Oryctolagus cuniculus: one gene and its partners. The protein of the gene in region 3 binds, or shares a complex with, the protein of the main gene of each other region. Links are inferred from orthologs where the notes say so. Each region holds a gene or a part of one and is shown on either strand. Other genes may lie near its edges.

Region 1 (3,365 bases), on a different chromosome or scaffold from region 3:
GTGAGCAGATGGAAGATCTTTCTCTTTCTCGAACTCTTTCATAAAAATAAATCTTTTTAAAAAATCATTTTATTACGTCACTGTATGTGTGCCATACAAAGCAGTAGCAAGGAAACTTGGATCTGGTTCTTTGTAGGCTTACTGCAGCTTCATTTCTGCATTTTAAAATGGGTAGAGGAAAAAAAAAATCTAAGAACTTTTGATGCACTGTATTATATTAAGGAGCTGCTTCTGAGTTCAGTAGCCTCTGGAGAGCAAAGCAATCTGACAAAAGCACAAAGTGAGAGAGTTAACACAGTACAAATTTCAGGCAGATTCCCCGATGTAATACATTCAAGTTTCTGATGACAAGTAAGCAAAAGTTCATGAAAAGGGGATCTCATTTAACTGCAGATTAGACTACTCTGCTTAGGCAAAAGGAATTAAATCCACTTAGTGTGGCCTGAGAAAAAACTAAAACTAATGTTTGACAATTACAATTTCCCTAAAAAGAAACAAATCACTACAAAAGGCAGGGAATCTGCACAGAGAGATGAATAAAGACAACATGACAAAGATGTCAGAGAGAAAACTCAATGCTTTTAGGTAGAGTACTGAACTAGATTAATGTTTCTCATATTGAGATTCACAGATAAGAGACTACAATTGTCAATGTCTAAATTTTGTTCAATTTCTTAGTGAAGATATTTAAGAATTAACAAAACATTTTCTAGCTCATCTAGATGGTGATCTTATAAAAGTCTTCTTCCCTCAAAATTTAGAGGTTACACTTAATAATGGTATTTACAGCTGCCTTGATAGCAGCTGCCCTGGGACTTCACCAATTCCACAAATACAATACTATATAATCCAACCCTCTCAGATGACAACAAAACTAAAGATTCTGAGGTAATTTGTCAAGCTTGCTAACTATTCTGATAAAAGAAAACATAAACATAGGACCCTATAGTTCATATTTTTAAAAAACTCAAAATTTTATTTCAATCCTATAAAAGGATTTACTGACATTCTGGTATAATACAAATAGCAAAGAGAAATAGTTTTGTAAACACTAATAATCAAATCAGAAATCCAGTAATTTAATAAAGATTATATAATTTATTTCATAACTGGTACATTTATATTTGCATAGCTAGACCCAAAATTAAATTTTCATTCTGCTTTTTCTACTTATCCCTTATGACCTTTCTAACTCCAAAAATATTTAAAACTACCAAATACTGACTTACCACAATTAATTTAACCATTTCTTTGCTGTTGATTAGTGTTATTGCTTTTAATTATACTTAAAGCTATAAAAAATCTCCAAACTTAAAAATGTTTCTTCATATTGACTTATACCCTTAGATATTTCATAAAAGATTACTCAGAGAAAGTGAACCTTTTTGTAAATTCTGCTCCATACCCCTTCTGAAAGTAGAAGTAGTAATTTTAAATGTTTAAACACAATAAAGAACGCATCAGTGTCACTCAATTTCAACCTCCACAGGTATTTTTTAATATAAAATCCTGCATCCGAGAGCACTGTGTTCTTGTATATTTTGAAGTTCTCTTTTATGCATTATAAATTTTAACTTTCGTTTTTGTAATATTTTCCCTCTGCATTACATGTCACAACAGCACATAGGCTTTACATTTTATTTTTGTTATCATTTCTCCCTGTCATCTCATGATTTCAAAACTGTGAATGTCATTCTTTCATATAAGAGAAAAACACTACCCACTCTTTTTTTTCCACTTTAAAAATAATTAGTTCTTTTTGGATTTGATTTGGGAAAATAATTCCTATATGATTACAGCTAGCACATTCACATTCTTGAAAGCAGCAAATACTAGTATTTCTAAGGCATTCAACTTAAGGATAAGTATGACTTGGAATCTCAGTCAATAAATAATTCTCTTTCATAAGTAGCATTTCATCCTACCTACATGCTTAAAATAGCTTTTAATTAACTGTTAAAGAATTACAGATTCCTACAGACATTTATGAAATGAACAGTGTAAAGTATTGAAAAAAAATTATACGCATACACACAAAGGCACAGATCTATACAGCCACACACTTGTTTTACAATCCCTGATGGTAATCAAGTTCACAGGGCTTAAGTATTTGAGATTACATGTGACAACTTACCCCTTTCTGCAATCGTTTCCTTAAGAAATCTGAACCTCCGGGCTTTTGTCCCAGATGAGGATACCTTGCTTTTAATTTTGCTTCTTCAGCTTTCTCTGGACTAGTCACTTTATCTTCCATTTCCTGAAATAATTTTAAATAAATTACTTCTCCGTTACAATTAGCTATTTAAAATAATTCACCTTTTACCAACTGGATACTGATTCTACTGGTCAAGTACCAAGAAACACAGCATCTGACTGAGAAACCCAGCACAGAAGCCTTTAAGTCATCTCTGTCTTGTTTCAAATGATCCATGTGATAGCTCTATTATAGCTGTGATGCATGTGTAACACCCCACACACTGGATAAAAATATCAAGATAGCTCAGCTCTGGAGTCTTGCTTGCCATTACTTTCCAGTCATGTATGACATATTTATAGTTAGTCACCTTCTATGGAACTCTTCAGCTCTTTGCCTATATTTAGATAATTATTCTAGCACTGTTAAAATCTGAAAGATCTGATTACCTGTTTATTCGAAGTTACACATGATTTGAAGCTCCTTAAGTCCTCATATATGTGTATTTTATTGCCTAATCTTCTGTTTAGAATGACAATTTCTGTTCATGTCAAAGATCCCATTCTTTAATACAGCAAAATTCTATTTTCTGACAAGAATGTAAATATCTTAAGCTTATTCACTTTTTTTTTTTTTGGACAGGCAGAGTGGACAGTGAGAGAGAGAGACAGAGAGAAAGGTCTTCCCTTGCCGTTGGTTCACCCTCCAATGGCCGCCGCAGCCGGCGCATCGCGCTGATCCAATGGCAGGAGCCAGGTATCCCATAGGGTGCAGGGCCCAAGCACTTGGGCCATCCTCCACTGCACTCCCTGGCCACAGCAGAGAGCTGGCCTGGAAGAGGGGCAACCGGGACAGAATCCGGCTTCCCAACCGGGACTAAAACCCGGTGTGCCGGCGCCGCAAGGCGGAGGATTAGCCTAGTGAGCCGCGGCAATGGCCAAGCTTATTCACTTTTGACACCAATCTTGATTTAGTTTAGTTTCTGTCAAAGGGTCATATTGTACAGGGAAGCAGTATTATTACTTTATGTTAAGTACTACAAAACAAAGAATAAATCAAGAAAAACAAAGCTTTCCTGTGAGGGCTAGGCTGGGCAGCTGGTAAGACACACTTTCTAGCTAATGGGCCTATTTTCTGCTTATGAGATCTGTAAAATTATACTTCTCTGCAT
Region 2 (2,524 bases), on a different chromosome or scaffold from region 3:
ACTGAACCATGACCCAACGAACACTAAACCATGACCCAACAATAATTTTCTATGCGGTTTCACTAATACCATTTAAAAGAACTTAACAAGTTAGTACGTTAATAGCTTTCTGAGACAAATTTAAGATCAAGAAAGTCCACAAATAATGTACAAATATTTGTTAAAAACGAACCAATCTGCCAACCATTTTCAAGAGTTCATATAATACATACAGCAAAATATTTATAACCAGAAACCGCAGTGCAGATACACCCTTAATTTGTTAAGTTTTACTCCAAAATGAAATCAACTTGCATGATTTCGTCTTACTAAAGCAGTGCACATTTTCTTTCATACAGACCAGTTAACATACAGGAGGAACCCACAAAGAGCCCATCAGTGATCTGACAAACTGTATTACACGGAACACAAATAAAGCCGGAAGTTAATCTGAAGAATATGAAGGCGTTATCAGAGATTATGCAGTGGCCTTGATTTTTATTTTTCTTTACCTAGAATTCTACAAATTTATCAATTATCTTTTTTAATAAACAGCACCAATCTTGCCCATTGATACAATTAAAATCTGACTTTCTCAGTTCTTAGTTCACAAGTTTATTATGAAAAACACTGCAGTGCCCTTGTGCAGTAACATCATCTTACAAGACGGGAGGGAGGGACAGTTCTGTTCAAAACAACTCACCAGGTTCTGACAATAACAAAGAACAACACAGGGGTGAGATCTGAGAAAGGAATAAACCGAGTGCAGACAAATCATACAATTAAATTAAATGGTATCCCTGAAAAGAAACAAAACGATTTCAAAACTCACAAGTAGAGGGAGGCCTTGGTACTTATTTTTAAAAATGTTCATTAAGCTCCAATGATTGTTTGCTGCTATCCTTATCTACAGTCATGCTGAGTAAAGCTATAGCTAAATGGAAGTTATTGTATTCACGAGGCGTTAATGTTTACATCTTATTATCTGCAGTCTCTCAGAGAAAGCAAAAGTAACTACAAATAGCGCTATGCCAGAAACTGGTTTCTTGACCAACAATGTCGCTTCAGCATGCAATGAACTGGTTCATTCTAAAGTGGTCACGGCTGTTGATGACAAGAGGCTTTGTATTTTTATATGGCACATCTTTTGGTCCGTGTGAAAACAAGTTTTTTGAAGGTTAACTATTTTTCTGACACTCTGGAGTTACTGTTGCTCTTCCCATTTCCATCAGGTCACATATGGTTCATGGCAATACTGTACAAGTTTAAAATTTCATTACAGGAAGTAGTCTGGGGTACGACGAGTAACATGTGGCTCGCCTCTACGAGGAGCTGGGTCAAACTGCAAGCTGAAAAACAAGAGATTCCTTGTTTACATTCTGACAGCCATGCACTAGCAATCCAAATCACTGGCATTCATTTTTAAACATTACATTTTTTTCCTATTCCATTCTAGGTCAGTCTCATGTAACAGGAGCTTACCTATACCTAAATCATGCAGTCAAAAGAGCTTCTAACTGCACTTTCCTGCAAAGAGCCCGGGCAACTTCAGCCACAAAAATGATGCTTTTACAAACTATGGTTCCTGGGGCTGGAGCTGTGGCGCAGAGGGTTAACGCCCTGGACTGAAGCACCGGCATCCCCCCTGGGATGAAAAGTCTGGGCTGCTCTACTTCCAATCCAGCTCTTTGCTATGGCCTGGGATAGCAGTAGAGTATGGCACAAGTCTTTGGGCCCCTGCACCCTTGTGGGGACCCGGAAGAACCTCCTGACTCCTGGCTTTGGATCAGCACAGCTCCATCCATTGCAGCCAATTGGAGAGTGAACTAGCAGCTCAAAGACCTTTCTCTCTCCCTCTCTCTGCCTCTCCTCTCTCTGTGTAACTCCGACTTGCAAATAAGTAAATATTTTTAAAAAATTTATAATTTTCCTAAGAACAATATTCCTTAAGAGTGGGTTTCTGCTTAAAAAAAAACAAAAAACAAAAAACAAAAAAAAAACTAGGGTTCCTGCTAAGATGGTTTGAGAGACTGCCAACTAAATAAACTTTAATGCAACTAAAGAACTGTATCTTAAAAGTTAAAACTCTAATAATTCATATTATGATCTGTGTACAATATATTAGTTTCTACTGTACTGTTTCAATATATTATAAGTCCCAAGAAGAAGTTAAAATTTAACATGATTGTACAAACCCTTAAATGTCCCAGTAAAACCAAATATTCAGTAATGGCGATGAAACACTGGGCGTGAACACTTACAAAGAGTATTTTAGAGTGTCATCAAGTTCCATGATTGCAGCTTGGTTACCACAGCGGTAACAATAGTTTGGAGCACTGAAAATTGTTACTACATTTCGGTCATGGCACCAGTTATATCCCTAAATGGAAAAGAAATTAAAATCAACTTTAATCCTTTATACAACTAAATGTGACTCAGAACAGAAAAAGACGTCTCTACTTCCACACAAGTCTTAAGGGGCTGGCACCGTGGCATAGTGGGTAAAGCTGCTGCCTGAGATGCAAGCATCCCATGTGGGCACTGG
Region 3 (3,657 bases):
GGAATTAGGATTGAATGTGAACATGTAATACAAAAAAATTAATAAGAATGCACACAGTACAAGGTTTCTCACCAAACTATTGAAGGGTAGAAAGCTAAGATTCCAGTCAACTATTCTCAATGGCAACAGGTTGGTGGTGAGAATAACTTGGAGATGTATCAATCTTGGCAGTTACACAAATGTACTTTGAAAACAAAGCAGAATTTTATCTCATTGCTTTTGTTTCAATGTAGCATTTACTTTGAAATTCCAAATAACATTAAAAAGAATCTTGAGTGGTTTATGCTTATCACAGGAGATTCGAAAGAAACTTCATTCTAATTTTATTGAGATACTAACACATTAAGAAGATATCACCTATAAACTGAACTGCATACTCCTAAGGCTAGGTGAAGTGTTCTCTACACCAATCTAGGGCCTAACACAACTTCCTGCTGTTCCCACTCAGTGACAATTGTGTGCTTTTTCACTCCTTTTCTATTTCTGAAGCAGAGAACAGGGAATAATGGTAATAGCTGAAAGACAAGAGAATTCACAACTGACATCCTAAAATTGATCAAGTAGGCAACTCTGCTAGCCATCTGCTAGGTTTTCAAACCCTTGTTCTTTAAATGTTAAGACTATAGCTATCAGATGAAAGCCAGTAATGAGCTCACTCAACTCAGCATGCCAGACTGAAGCTCCACTTCAGTGATTACTGCACATCTTCCAATCAGAGCATGCACATCTCTAAGCAGGCCTGCCATTCTCTCCAATTCTCATCCTGCCTGGACCTTACTGGTTTTTAATGCTCTTTTCTCTCTGCCTTAAATGTACACCGCAGCAGAAAATAAAGACACTCTTGAATCAAATGACAGCCAAATCATATGTTAACAGCAAATTGAATGACAACACAATCTTTTAAGTTATACAAAATTTAACATATGGAAAAGCAACACACTCTTGGATCTTTGAGGGGAAATGTCTAACAGTGAAAACTGTAGAATAGTGAGTACAAAAAATATTTTGTACACCTAGTACAAAGTTCTTCTTTATAAACATGAAAGAGGGTACATGCTCATTGAATGAGAAAACTGCAAATACCTGGTATGTTTCCACAGGCCTGTTTTCCATATTTAAGTCCCAAATTTTGACTGACAAATAGTCTCTAGTCATCATATATCGACCACTATGGCTGAATTTTACATCAGATATAGAGGAGATGATTTCGGAAAAAAATGACCTGTTACTGGGGTCTTCTGGTTCTTCAAACACTAAAAACAAGCAAAAAAAACGGCAACGTGTACAATATTCTGGCTTAGACAAAGCATTTCCTTAAACAGCCACTCACAAACTTCCTAAGAGCAAGATAAAATGACAGGCTAATAAAGAACTGAAAAATACCTCTCTGGCTGTAACAATTAACTTCCCTCAAAGCTTCTTCAGAGTCATGTGGTTAAAAACCAGACTTGCTGGGGCTTCTGTCTTCAGTGCCCCAGGTTGGCTGGCAGACTCAACTTTGCAAGACTTAACTGACTTGACCTCTACCACCACAAGAAGAACACTATCCTACTCATCCAAATCATACCTCAATTTTATTTTCTGGTGGCCACATAAAGTTGTTTCAGTTAATACACACACACCAAATTTTCATGAGTTTTAAAAACATTCAATAATACAAACAGAATACTGCAACCCCTTAACTTTTTAACCGAGTGGTTTTCAAATGCTTTTTTTAAGCCAAGAAAACCTCTGAACCAAATATTCCTAGGAAGCTCAAAATAGAGGGGAAAAGGAAGGAATGGGGAGGGAATGAAAGCAAAGGAATGGCTCTATTTGAAGATAAAGTTGAAAAGCTCAACCTCAAGTTCCTAAAAATAAGCACTCCATTAAAAATATATTCATTGGGAATCAAAAGAAACGCCCCCGGAGAGCCTTACTATGTTCTTTCAGTGGAGTAACATGTGATGCCCCAAGAAGAGTTAGGGAGTTTAATAAAGGTTAAAAGAGGCCCTATGTATAAAAGTTAAGATCTGTAAACCTCTGTAAATATAGTCATCATGTCTGAGGTTAGTTTCATACAAATAGACTGTGTCATCGTTTTAAAGAAAAGTGAAATACTTACATTTAGAATGCCTATCACAGAGGGCAGATGCCCTCATGTCACATAACCGAATAGTTCCTTTACTGCTGCTGTATACAAACGTGTTACAGCTATTTGGATGGAATTCTGCTGCTGTAATTACTTCCGTTAGTTCTTCCATATTGGCAGGTTTGATATCCACAATATCTGGATAGCATTTTATTAAGGAATTTACACTTAGAAAAGCAAATGTAATTTTACATTTCTCAAAATCCGCTCACAGATCCAGACACAAGTATTATCTGGAATTACATTCTACTCGAGTATAAACCCTAGAGAGAGTTAAAAATTTACTGCTAAAGTGATAAATCTTCTAAAATACTGCAAATTTTAAATCACTTTAGAATGTAAAGATCTTTCTGGCTATGTAGCATACAAATCCCACAAGTTATTTATAAATTTGCCTTTAAAGTATTAACAGAATTCCCAAAACAAACAAAAACCCCAAGAGGGTAAAAAAGAGAAACTACCTGCATCACAAACAATACACCTAGTTAACACCAAAAGGTGCTTAAACCACACATACACACAACACAGAGAAATACAGTGGGGAAAGCTAGAAAAAGAACAAAAAGAAATATAAATTGCTAGTAAACATGATACTCAAATCTACTCATAATGCAAGAAGAAAATTTTCTGATGAACTACAATTTATCTGCAGATAAATTAAAAGCTTCATAGCAAAGGCATAAGAAAATAAGTCTTTCATACACTGATGGTAGAATAACAATTTAATTTTCAAAAATATACATATTAACTACTAAAAGTTCCTAACATTTATTTTAAATTTTAAAGAAATTAAAAAAAAAAAAACAAGTATTTGTAGGCACTTGTATACTTATATATTATATACATGTATCCAATTACATGTTAACATCATGAACATGTATATGGACAGAAAATTTCCAGGAGGATAATATAAATAATAAAAATGAAGTTCAAAGAAGTATTTCTATCAATTTTATATTATCCTACATCATGCTTTGTAAGAATTTTTTCCAATCTTAAGAATATTTTTATAATTAAATTTATATTACTCTTAGTTAAAATTTCAACACTAAATTATAAAAACCCAAATCACCAAATTCCTTAAAATTTCATGAATTTAATTTTTACATCAATACATTATACTCTTTATCCTTTATCAAATAACTTTCCTATAGTGTTTAATTATGTACATACTAAGATACCATACAAAGGAGCAATCAAATACATTAAAGAGACAAAAATAAATCCAACATGAGCACAGTATGCCGTCAAACAAGAAAACAAATGGATACTAAAACTCCTGTCTGTAATTTCCAGATGCCAAAGATTAATCCGCAAATCATCTGCAGATAAATAAGTTTCATAATCACTATTAATAGAAATTGAGTTGATGTGATATGTATGAGCATTGGCAAATATTCTTCGTGGACTGGCCTCGACCATTAGATCCATGGGCCTAAAGACTGGCACCTGTCAATAAGACACATGAAAAATAAATTACAAAAGGTTCACTGCTTCAAATAGCACATAAGGCTCAGAACACTTCA

The links.
Region 1: the proteins of PPP2R2A (region 3) and ARPP19 are in contact, whole or in part, in a cryo-EM structure (PDB 8TTB), measured with the Homo sapiens proteins. The link is inferred for Oryctolagus cuniculus from reciprocal best matches to the Homo sapiens genes PPP2R2A and ARPP19. Residues at the interface, in NP_002708.1 of Homo sapiens: Lys18, Gly19, Ala20, Asp23, Asp24, Asp29, Ile31, Thr45, Asp47, Gly49, Arg51, Val53, Phe55, Val73, Thr76, Gln78, Glu81, Pro82, Glu83, Phe84, Leu87, Lys88, Ser89, Glu91, Glu93, Tyr178, His179, Asp197, Leu198, Asn221; in NP_001293124.1 of Homo sapiens: Lys42, Pro43, Gly44, Ser46, Phe48, Leu49, Arg50, Arg52, Leu53, Lys55, Lys58, Tyr59, Phe60, Asp61, Lys75, Pro93, Asp97, Leu98, Pro99, Pro103, Leu105, Val106, Ala107, Ser108, Lys109, Leu110, Ala111.
Region 2: the proteins of PPP2R2A (region 3) and PPP2CA are in contact, whole or in part, in a cryo-EM structure (PDB 9C6B), measured with the Homo sapiens proteins. The link is inferred for Oryctolagus cuniculus from reciprocal best matches to the Homo sapiens genes PPP2R2A and PPP2CA. Residues at the interface, in NP_002708.1 of Homo sapiens: Tyr86, Leu87, Lys88, Ser89, Ala173, Asn174, Ala175, Glu190, Asn201, Leu202, Trp203, His204, Ile207, Thr208, Asp209, Arg210, Ser211, Phe212, Asn213, Ile214, Val215, Asp216, Met256, Ala260, Leu261, Asp263; in NP_002706.1 of Homo sapiens: Arg89, Tyr91, Val126, Tyr127, Gly128, Asp131, Arg135, Cys266, Tyr267, Arg268, Arg295, Pro298, His299, Val300, Thr301, Arg302, Arg303, Thr304, Pro305, Tyr307, Phe308.

The regions. Positions count from the first base shown.
Region 1 is NC_091443.1:75,215,667-75,219,031, forward strand, and holds part of ARPP19 (cAMP-regulated phosphoprotein 19), read right to left. Parts: intron 2,547-3,365; exon of another isoform or gene 2,370-2,546; coding exon of another isoform or gene 2,355-2,369; intron 2,258-2,354; coding exon 2,135-2,257; intron 1-2,134. UniProt on the Homo sapiens protein: Protein phosphatase inhibitor that specifically inhibits protein phosphatase 2A (PP2A) during mitosis. Inhibition of PP2A is enhanced when ARPP19 is phosphorylated.
Region 2 is NC_091437.1:22,493,172-22,495,695, forward strand, and holds the end of PPP2CA (serine/threonine-protein phosphatase 2A catalytic subunit alpha isoform), read right to left. Parts: intron 2,360-2,524; coding exon 2,241-2,359; intron 1,329-2,240; coding exon 1,256-1,328; 3' UTR 522-1,255; downstream 1-521. UniProt on the Homo sapiens protein: Catalytic subunit of protein phosphatase 2A (PP2A), a serine/threonine phosphatase involved in the regulation of a wide variety of enzymes, signal transduction pathways, and cellular events.
Region 3 is NC_091433.1:47,876,439-47,880,095, forward strand, and holds part of PPP2R2A (serine/threonine-protein phosphatase 2A 55 kDa regulatory subunit B alpha isoform), read right to left. Parts: intron 3,581-3,657; coding exon 3,403-3,580; intron 2,270-3,402; coding exon 2,105-2,269; intron 1,254-2,104; coding exon 1,084-1,253; intron 1-1,083. UniProt on the Homo sapiens protein: Substrate-recognition subunit of protein phosphatase 2A (PP2A) that plays a key role in cell cycle by controlling mitosis entry and exit. Involved in chromosome clustering during late mitosis by mediating dephosphorylation of MKI67.